2 linked regions of the Yarrowia lipolytica genome follow. The main gene of each other region encodes a partner of the protein of the gene in region 2 in a complex. Links are inferred from orthologs where the notes say so. Each region holds a gene or a part of one and is shown on either strand. Other genes may lie near its edges.

Region 1 (4,514 bases), on a different chromosome or scaffold from region 2:
GTTGCTTCTGAAAGATGTCGGAGATGAGCCCTCCCGAACCCGTTTTTCACTCCCTGAGGAAGTCAACATCTTCCTGCAAACCCGACGACCTTCCAACGTGCTTCCCAACAAGCCCAATGGCCGAAACATGCTGTCCATGTACTCGTCTGTTGGTGTGGTTGACATTGATATTGACCAGTTTCCTCTCATGGCCAACGCTGTTGCTCCTGAAGTGTTTGTAGCTCCGGCCGATGCATCTGGTCTCAGTCCCTCGGGAGCCTGTCCTGGATCCAATAAGGTCAAGAAGATGGTGATGCGGTCTCAGCGGTGGCTGGAAAAGTGCGTGGCCGACGTCAAGGTCCCTATTTACGCCTCGATTCTGCCTACTCTTCCCGTTTTGCACCAGAAGGAGTATCTTAAGACAGTGGTAGAGAACCAGGATAAGATCAACGGTCTGGTATTCCACACTCGAGCCGAGCACTCTGAGTACCCCGATCAGACCATTGATCTCAGTCGATTCGACTCCACCCGAAAACCCACAGATGCCGCTGCTGCCGAAAGTGCAGCTCGTAAGGCTGCCGCTCAGGGACCCACTGACGGTAATGGAAACCCTCTGGATGTCAAGACTGAGCATCTGACGGGCCCCAAGCCTGTTTTGGACGAGCTCAAGAACCTCGGAATGGGCAAGACGATGCCTCTCTACCACTCTGGACAGTGTGACACTCCCCAGCAGATGCTTCTGCTCATCCAGCAGGGCTTTGATCTGCTGAGCGGATATTCTGTCGAGACCTTTTCGGACGCTGGAGTCGCTCTTGATTTCACCTTTCCTGCCACTCCGGGTGCTGTGTTTGGACACAATCTGTGGGACCCCAAGTTCAAGAACGACTTTTCTCCTCTGGCCGACTCCAACCAGGCCCTCAGTGCACCACATCACCGAGCATACTTGTACCATCTGTTGGACGCGCACGAGATGTTGGGTCACGTGATTCTCGAACAGCATAACCTCGAGATTTACAATCGGTTCCTGGCTGGAGTAAGACGGAGCATTGAGGCCGGCACGTTTGACGCCGATGTCAAGGATTTTTTTGAGGTCTACGGAGATTCAAAGCTGGTGTTGAAGCTGGTTGAGATGGGAGAAAAGTTGCAAGGTAGCCATGGAGCTGATAAGGATCGATTCTGAACGAAGCAGTACGCTTCTGGGCAGAGTGGAGGCTTCCGAATCAAGTGTATCTTCCGGCTCGGACAAGCAAAAAGGACAGATGAAGAGTCGCGGGAATATATAGACGTCTGACAACTGAATCTCAGACGGTGTGTATGTATTCATATGTATTTTTAAGCATTGGTGTAGTATTCGTATTCATACTGGAGACCTATTCAGTCCATTTGCTTGCTCCTGTGTATTACATGCGGACGACCTCATTTCATCTCATACATCTCATTAAATAAGTTACATTTAGGCAATGACCTGACCACCGTTGACCTTCTTGCCGGTCTTGGCGATGGTGGCGAGAACGTCGTCGTAGGAGACGGCGTCGTCTGTCTTGACGAGCACAGACTGCTTCTCAAGGTCGATGTCGACAGAGGTGACACCCTCCTTCTTCTGAAGGACTCGGTTCACAGCGTTGGAGCATCCTGAGTTAGCCAAGAATGGGTTGACTGAGTACAAGTAGTAGACTGGCAGGTCATAGTGGCGTCAGACCAGTAAGATCAATCACCAGTACCAGAACTTTTTTGAAAACAGCATTAAGGGCGTGGTCATGAGCCGTGATGAAGTGCAACCACGTAATCAAATCCACAGGGAATAGATTCATGGACATGAACAGCATTGATCCCGAAGTTTTCGGTTGATTCGGTGGTCGAGCATCATGATTCCTGATCTGTCTTAACACTCATTGAGCAAAAACAGGACTGATAACAGCATTATGACATGGACATTATCACCGAACTTCATACCATGACCCATCTCCATCTTTTGAGAGCTTCTTCGTCATCGTCGTCGTCATCAACTGCTAACTTCCACCACTACCAACTCCACCACTACCAACTCCACTACTACCAACTCCACCACTACCAACTCCACCACCTCCAATCCTACTCACCGGAACAGGACATGGCAACGTCGTACTTGTATTCGTGGGCCATTTTGTGATTGTGTGTTGACAAAGTTGGTGGGACAAGTTGAGATCGACTCTCTGTTAATATAGTCTGCAGCGAAAAGAGCTCAGCGGAATTTAACCTTGGGGAGGACATGACGCTGCATAGACGAGCATTTTTGGTGGAGTGATTTCACGTGACACCAACAGAGCCGTGCTGGAAATACTTGGTCGAGTGGGCATATAATCATGTCTCGTGAGCTATTTAGTTGCGTAAGAACCCGAAATTGTGACATCTCCTACTTTTACTGCAGATCTGATAAATGTCAGTCCAATCTCCTGGGCATTGGCCGAAGATACTGCAACTCTAGGTGCCACAAGTCTGAAATGAAAGTCTGAAATGAAAGGCTGAAAGTCTTGGAGCCAAGCGACAAGTGGTGGTGGAGAGCGACTCGTGGGGCACGGAAGCCTTGTTTGAATGACAGGGCTGACGGTATATTTCACTACAAACCGGGTCTTTCAACAAACAACTTTAGTCTGGCAACTAGAAATCCACGTGGGAGACCCAAACCTCCTCGTCCAACCGCATAAACAGCTCATGAGAGCCGCAGCAAGTGTTTCGGGTGGCACAGGTTGTACTGAGGATAGTTACATCAAATTACCGTTGATGGATACGGTACGGCACGAGTACGGTACTACAAGTAGTAGTATGGTACATGTTGTAGCCAACTCAGGGAGTAACTCAGAGGCAGTATGTATTGTAGTAGACTACATACTGTACATGACTCGTAGAGTCAGCTAAGCAGGAGTCGACTCAGCAAGGCTCGGTAAGACTACTGTAAGTCAGCTCAATTCTAGCCATGGAAGTCCGAGGAGGCTCTGTGTACGAAACTGAGACTGTTCTATGTCGTGATCGTAGATGAGCGGGGAGTATTTACAGTATATATATAACGTCGCACTTGAATAGTATATACAGTAGTACTGTAGTATGTACTGTACATTCGAGTATGTACTGTACATTCGAGTATGTACTTGAATGGTATAGTATAATACTTGAAGGTACAGTATATACCGTACATATTGTACTTAAATGGTACTCGTACAGATTGTGCTAGTAGATTGTCTCTCAGAACAGGTAGCTATAGTATGTACACCACCTACTTACATACTCGTACATACGTACAGTAGCTGATGATATCTGTAGATCTTCCAGTTTTGACAGTTTCAACAGTTTGACAACCTCAAAAGAACCTCCACGATAAGCCGTATTTGAAACTTTGGAACGCAATCTAAGATATCGGACTTCTCCTGTCAGACCATCTCAGCCGCCCACAGGTGCATGAGGAGATGAGGTCAGAGGAGAGGACTGTCGTTTGTTTCGGTGAACGATGACCGCGATCTGTGTGAAGATGAGCTTTGTGTAATGATCATGAGCTCTCTGATATTGATAGTTGTCAGTTTTCAGGGCTCTGTCACTGGCAGCTTTCATCGTGTTCTGACCATCATCAGTGTATGCCACTGCTGTAAAACCCATTCCTTGAACCCCTCACGCAGTCTCCACTGTCTTCAGATTACGAGTGTACGCGCGTCTAGACCAGCTCATTATCATACTTACCTGGTCATACGCCCTCCTTGCTCCTCGTGTATGCAAGTCCAGGTGGTTGTTTTTTGTTGTTTTTTTATTGTTTTTTTATTTTTTGTTTGTCTTTCTTTCTTACTTTCTTTCTTCTTTCTTTATTGTTGCGGTCCAGACTGCGGGTGCCGGAATCGAACCCGGGTTGCTTGTTTTTTGGTGGGGTGACCGAAAGGGAAGGGCGCCATGAAAAGCGCAAAAAACGAGAAGTGGAGCCTTTGAGAACTACAAGTACTGTACATACTGCGAGACTGGGTAGACGACAACGGCCAATTCCAGAATATGAAAATCAGCAGGTGCCGGATGTTGAGGGTGTGGTCGAGGACATCGAAGGTCTGGTGGAGGATGTCGCGGTCGAGAAGCTGTCGAGGAGCTTGTGGGAGCTGATCAAGGAGTTGATCAGAACTGATTCCTGACTGAGTTCGCTCAAGCCTTCCCATCTCGGCAGACGACGTCCTCTTCGTCGTGCTTGACGCATAGATGACCACGTATTGCTCAAACGCCGTACAGACTGGACGCCGACAGAATGCCACAGAATGCCACAGAATGTACCGTATCACGGAGGCAGTCACCTTAGCCGCTCCAATATCGTTCTATATCGTCGTCGCTCACTTGCTCTTGCATGTCCGAGGGCTGTCATTCTGCTGTCAAAGCACTGGTCTTGGTCCAAATCTCCCGCCATGGTTCGTTTTGGCAGCCATAGACCGGACTTATACGGAAGCGTCGGTCTAATCACGTCTATTGAAAGGCGCTATAATTCCGAGATCCAGCAGACGCCACTCGGATACCAGCTCTCTGAACGTCGAGGT
Region 2 (5,810 bases):
GACGATGAGGAGTTTGTGGACGCTGAGAGCGACGCGCTGGAGGAGGATGACGACGATGATGATGACGTCGACCTAGACAACGACTCTGACCACTCCCCTGTCAAGCCGCCCTCGCAGATGCAGCGAGTCATCAACAAGACTATTGAGGACAACAAGGGCCTGCACATGGATGAGGATGACGTTCAAAAAGCCATGAAGGCCCTGAAGATGGAACGAGCAAGCATCAATCCTGAGTAAATAGGAAATCAAGCATAAATATATCCGTACTGTACACCGTAGTTTGTGACGTCGAAGGGGAGGGGGACAAGAGAGTGAAAGTGTAGCTACTTGTAGTATGTATAAGTTGTGCGTACCTGAATGTCACGGGACCTGCGATACGAATGCTGGTGAGACCCAACCATGGTTCCCGCTAGAAAGCCAAGATATTATCTGGATCTACAGCTGAGTTTGACGTTATTTTTTTCCCTCCTGAAAGGCTTTGTTAGGTTTGCATCGTTCATGTATTTGGTGTACACCTTTTTCGGGTTCCGATGGTGCTTCCATAGGTGGAGGAGCAGGTCAGAGACACATTGTTTGTGGATAGCGGATTGTTATGCCCCGAGTGGAGCATCATTTTAATCGCAGGAGTTTATTATATACTGTGTATACAGTGCACTAATTTTTCCCCTGTCTCCTCTACACTCCCTTACGTCATTAAATGGCCGCTACTGTATTCACACTCTTCCGACCCGGATCAGATAAATTTTTCAAGAACTTTTTTATCTGATTTGTATGCATGGTTTGGGGGCAAGTAAGCCGTACATAGGAGGCCTGGAAGTAGGGGCAAAAGTGGAGAGTCCCTGTAACCACTGGTTTGTGCAATTTTGGGGGTCGCAAATACATTGCCACAACGTGGGCGCCAGGAGTTTACAGACGAGTCTATATACGGGCGGTCTTAGATGAATTTTACTACTGCACGTGTGAGCAATTTGAGGGCCTGTGTTGACGGGTGCGAGTTTAACGTGCAGGGTTCAGTGGGGTGATTTGAGCCGACAAAAACAAATGTGAGGCGATGATCATGGTGTGACTGGGGAAGTAAGTATATACGATTTGGTTCTGCTCGTCTGGGGGGTTTTAGCACCAGCCATACCACTGGTAGTGGGTCTCTGACACTAATGGTATTTTCTGTCGCCACCTATACACCCGACAAGACGCATCTCGGCTCGTGCCGTTTTACCTTTGGCCAAGCAGGTTCAAGTGAACTTTGTCAATTGGAGAAGTGCAAAGCCAAAATTCACCAGCCCTCATATCATCACTCCACATCTCAGTTGCCCGACTTGGTCACTCGATACACCGGCTGCGCAAGCGACTCACATACGACAGGTGTCCAAAACCAGTTTCCACTGAAAATACCGCAACGTGTAGCAACCCAAGTGAACTATCAGCTGTCTCTTCACCTCACATCACATCACAGCCATTACACAGCACTTGACCAAAACAGAGGGCTCGCCAGTATCAACAAGTGTTGCAACCACATCTTGATATTGAACGCTCATCGACATCTGCACCGCCAAGCAGAGCTCATCTCTTCCACACGCTCAGATTAAACCAAAAGTGCATAATTTGCTCACCATGAAAGAAGCTGGTGATAGCTCCACAACGCCACCTAAGCCCGACACCACCTCGGCTTACCAGGTCGGCGGCATGACATGCGGATCGTGCGTCTCCGCCATCATCAACGGCCTGGAGGCATGTCCCGGTGTCACAGAAGCAGCTGTGTCTCTGGTCACCGAACGAGCCAGTGTACACCACAACAAGAGCATAATCTCCGCCGAAGAGCTGCAGGAAAGAATAGAGGACTGCGGCTTCGACGCCTCGCTCATCGACTCATCGCCGATAGCTGCGCCCGTCAGCACACCCATGGAACGTCTCAAGGTTAAGATCTTCGGAATGACCTGTTCCAGTTGTACCAACGCAGTGCGAGACACTATCCAGGACATTAGAGGCGTCGCCAATGTCGTGGTTGCTCTCGCGACTGAGGAGGCCACCATTTCTTTCAATCCCCAGGAATGTGGAGCTCGAGACATCATCAACGCCATTGAAGACTGTGGCTTTGAGGGCGTCCTATCTGCACAGCAAGATAACGCTACCCAACTAGCAAGCTTATCTCGAATCAAGGAGATACAGAAATGGCGAAGCGACGGTATCCAGTGTTTCATTCTTGGTCTGCCTGTGATGTTGCTCACTCATATTCTTCCCATGGTTGGTCTCCAGCCTCTGCATGATCTAACCATCTTCAAGGGCCTGTACGTGGACGATCTCGTCTGCTTTGTGCTGGCAACATACATCCAGTTCTGGCTGGGCCACAAGTTCTATGTCTCTTCGCGACGAGCTCTGTCCCATGGAACTGCCACCATGGACGTGTTGGTGGCCATCTCCACCTCCTCAGCCTACTTCTTTTCTGTCTTTTCCATGCTCTATGCGATCGCCACTGTGGCCGATACTCACCCTCATACTCTGTTTGAGACTTCGGCAATGCTGATTGCCTTCACGACCCTCGGAAAATACTTGGAAAACCGAGCCAAGGGACAGACCTCGGGTGCCCTCAGTAAGCTTATTTCCCTGACTCCTACCACTGCCACTATTCTCAAGGACTCCTCCAAGTACGACCCCAGTATTGTATACGACGAGTCTGCCGAGATGGATATTGCTGCCGAGCTTCTTCAGAGAGGTGATATTGTCATTCTCAAGCCTGGTGCCAAGGTACCTGCTGACGGAGTCGTCGTTTCCGGTGAAACTTATATCGATGAGTCTCTTCTCACTGGAGAGTCTACTCCTGTGGTCCGAAAGGTTGGAGACCAGGTTGTGGGTGGCTCCATTAACGGCTCTGGGCGTATTGACTTCCGAGTCGAGCGTGCTGGTAAGGATACTGCCCTTGCCAACATTGTCCGGCTAGTTGAGGAGGCCCAGACCTCTCAGGCCGAGATCCAGCGATACGCCGACAAGATTTCCGGAGTCTTTGTGCCATGTGTTGTTGCTCTTGCCCTGCTTACCTTCATCTTCTGGATTATCATGAGCAACGTCATGAAGCATCCTCCTAACGTCTTTTCTCTGCCCGAAGGAAAGTTCCTCATCTGTCTTCGTCTGTGCATCTCTGTCGTGGTCGTTGCTTGTCCCTGTGCTCTTGGTCTTGCCACTCCCACAGCGGTCATGGTCGGAACTGGTGTTGGAGCTACTCATGGTATTCTTGTAAAGGGCGGAGCAGTTTTGGAAACCGCTTCAAAGATCAAGACTGTTGTTTTCGATAAGACTGGTACACTCACCACCGGCCGAATGACCATTCAAAAACACGTCTTTGAGAAGGATACTCTCAAGAACCTCAACATGACCGAAACTGAAATGTGGCTAATTCTGGCTGGCGTGGAGGCTTCGTCTGAACATCCCATTGCCCAGTCTCTAGTTCGACAGGCGAAGGAGGCTGCCCAGGTTGAGGATGTTCCCGGTGTGGCTGACTTTGTTGCTATTGTTGGTCAGGGTGTTACTGGTGTAGTTGATGGCCACAGTGTTGCTGTTGGCTCTTCTGAGCTTGTCAACTCGTCCTGCAAGTCGCTGGATAAGCCCCCCGCCACCCCTCACTCCCCTGACAACCCTGCTACTGTGATCCATGCTTGTGTTGACGGCCAGTATGTCGGTTACATGGCCTTTGCTGATAGCGTCAAGTCCGACGCTCGAGCTGCAGTGTCTGTGCTCAAGAAGATGGGAATCAACGTCGCCATGATGACCGGAGACAACCACTTCGTTGCCCACGCTGTTGCTGATGAGGTCGGTATCCCCCGATCCAATGTCTGGGCATCGACCTCGCCTGCTCAGAAGCTCGCCATCATCGAACAGCTGCAGGAGCCCCAGGACCCCAACGAAGCTGCTGACTCCACAGATCTGTCTCTAAATGCCTCTGTGGTTGCCATGGTCGGCGATGGTATCAACGACTCGCCTGCCCTGGCCAAGGCTGCTATTGGAATTGCAATGTCCTCCGGAACCGACATCGCCATGGACGCTGCCGATATTGTGCTGCTCAACAAGGAGAGTCTCATGGACGTCCCTGCCTCCATTAACCTATCGCAGGTCACCTTCCGACGAATCAAAATCAACCTCGTGTGGGCCTCCGTGTACAACCTGATTATGATTCCCTTTGCTATGGGCTGCTTCCTGCCATTCAACTTTATGCTGCACCCCATGGAGGCATCTGCAGCCATGGCGCTGAGTTCCGTGTCTGTTATTGTTTCTTCTCTGGCTCTCAAGAAATGGCAACCCCCCAAGGACACCGAATATGGCTCTGACGAGTGGCGAGACATGGAGAGCCAGACGGTCAAACCCAAGCGGCGTTGGTGGCAGAAGCTCTGGAGAAGCGAGGGTGTTCGATACGAGCGGCTCTAGGCAAACCGGGCAACTGTGGTTTGCTGTAAATTATTATAGACTTTATGAATAACGATGTATAATGGTGCACTTCTTGGTGGTGCTCTTGTATCGTCTCTGGTGTGCATGCACTGCAGCACATGTGAGATTAACCTTGATAGGGGTGGTTGTATCTCTCGTTTATGGGGAAAGAATATGGCTGAGTAGCGTATCTACGACACTGTAGCAGCTCTATGTTAAAGTGCCGTACATTGGCGTGTACTCGTAGCGTTTTTAATTCCCTACTTCCTATGTTCTTATACTGACTTTGGTAGTCTACAAGTGCTCGTAGTATAATCAAGTACATACTGCATACTGTACATACATACTATACATAGCGTAGCGTACCAAGTAGTGGTGCTAACAACTTATCGCTTGGAACAATACAGAGGAAGCCTAAACGAGTATAGAGACCGAACCAAGCGCCATTGTCTAGATACACCATCTTGAATTCTCTAATTCCCTCTCTCTTCTCGGATAGTTCACGTGACCTTCTCCAAAAGCAGATCTTAATTAGATCGGCAAGCAAACCCTAACCCAATCTCCTGTATGTGCTTCAAAACATGGCATGATAACATAGAGGAAAACGACATGTCTGATGATTTACGCCCGTATCAATTGGACCGGCCGGCCAACCAAACAGGTCGGCCTCAGCCTCTCGGCCCTGGCGACTCACCCACCGTGTCTCCCACAAATGGTACAAAACCAGCGGGGTCCAAGCGCAATTTAATACCCGCGACAGAGAGATCATTTTTGACCGTGTCAAACACAATTGGAGCGAGCGCCTCTTCCAACATGACCTTTGATGTCCAGAGACAGACCATAGCATACACTGCCGGTACAGGCGCAGTTCTGGGTCACTACAGCACGTCTTTGGGTCTCAAACAACGGTACTTTTGTTTGAGGAACACAGATCAGCTCAATGCGTCTTTTGAAGCGTTCCAAATCACAGCTACGCGAGACAGCTACGGGTTTTCATCACAGACACAGTATTTGGGAGCGTCGGAAGAATCTCCGGTGGATGCTTCGCCTCCTAAAATGCCTTCTCCTGTGAAAGAACGCGCCAAGAGTGCTACTGCTGTGGCTATCAGACCAGATGGGCGCCTATTGGCATTGGGAGAAACCGGGCACAGTCCCAAGATTTCGATTTTCAGCACAGCACCGGATTCTGATTCCAGTTGTCCGGTTGCAGTGATCACTCAGCACTCTTTTGGAGTACGGTTCCTGCGATGGTCCCCTTGCGGGACATTTCTGGCCTCTTTGGGAACCCTAAATGACGGTTATCTTCACATTTGGCATGTCCAGGACAAGGGTGTACGTCTACATTCGTCCAACAAATGCATATCCCAGGTGGAAGACATGCGGTGGCTCTCGGACAA

Evidence for each region. The genes of interacting proteins can lie anywhere in the genome.
Region 1: the proteins of YALI1_D35635g (region 2) and YALI1_B23771g are in contact, whole or in part, in an NMR structure (PDB 2GGP), measured with the Saccharomyces cerevisiae proteins. The link is inferred for Yarrowia lipolytica from reciprocal best matches to the Saccharomyces cerevisiae genes CCC2 and ATX1. Residues at the interface, in NP_010556.1 of Saccharomyces cerevisiae: Cys13, Ala15, Cys16, Thr19, Gln23, Glu60, Asp61, Cys62, Gly63, Phe64, Asp65; in NP_014140.1 of Saccharomyces cerevisiae: Thr14, Cys15, Gly17, Cys18, Ala21, Lys24, Val25, Lys28, Lys59, Lys61, Lys62, Thr63, Gly64, Lys65.

Annotation. Positions count from the first base shown.
Region 1 is NC_090771.1:2,374,680-2,379,193, reverse strand, and holds YALI1_B23771g (uncharacterized protein), read right to left. Parts: upstream 2,122-4,514; coding exon 2,079-2,121; intron 1,612-2,078; coding exon 1,433-1,611; downstream 1-1,432. Other genes in the region: YALI1_B23794g (uncharacterized protein), read left to right, coding at 1-1,159; YALI1_B23744g (uncharacterized protein), read left to right, coding at 4,242-4,514. UniProt on the Saccharomyces cerevisiae protein: Copper homeostasis factor that specifically transports copper to the secretory pathway for incorporation into copper enzymes destined for the cell surface or extracellular milieu.
Region 2 is NC_090773.1:3,561,857-3,567,666, forward strand, and holds YALI1_D35635g (uncharacterized protein), read left to right. Parts: upstream 1-1,611; coding exon 1,612-4,413; downstream 4,414-5,810. Other genes in the region: YALI1_D35593g (uncharacterized protein), read left to right, coding at 1-237; YALI1_D35624g (uncharacterized protein), read left to right, coding at 499-507, 552-794; YALI1_D35669g (uncharacterized protein), read left to right, coding at 4,981-5,810. UniProt on the Saccharomyces cerevisiae protein: Copper-transporting P-type ATPase necessary for the proper uptake of iron. Required for export of copper from cytosol into extracytosolic compartment.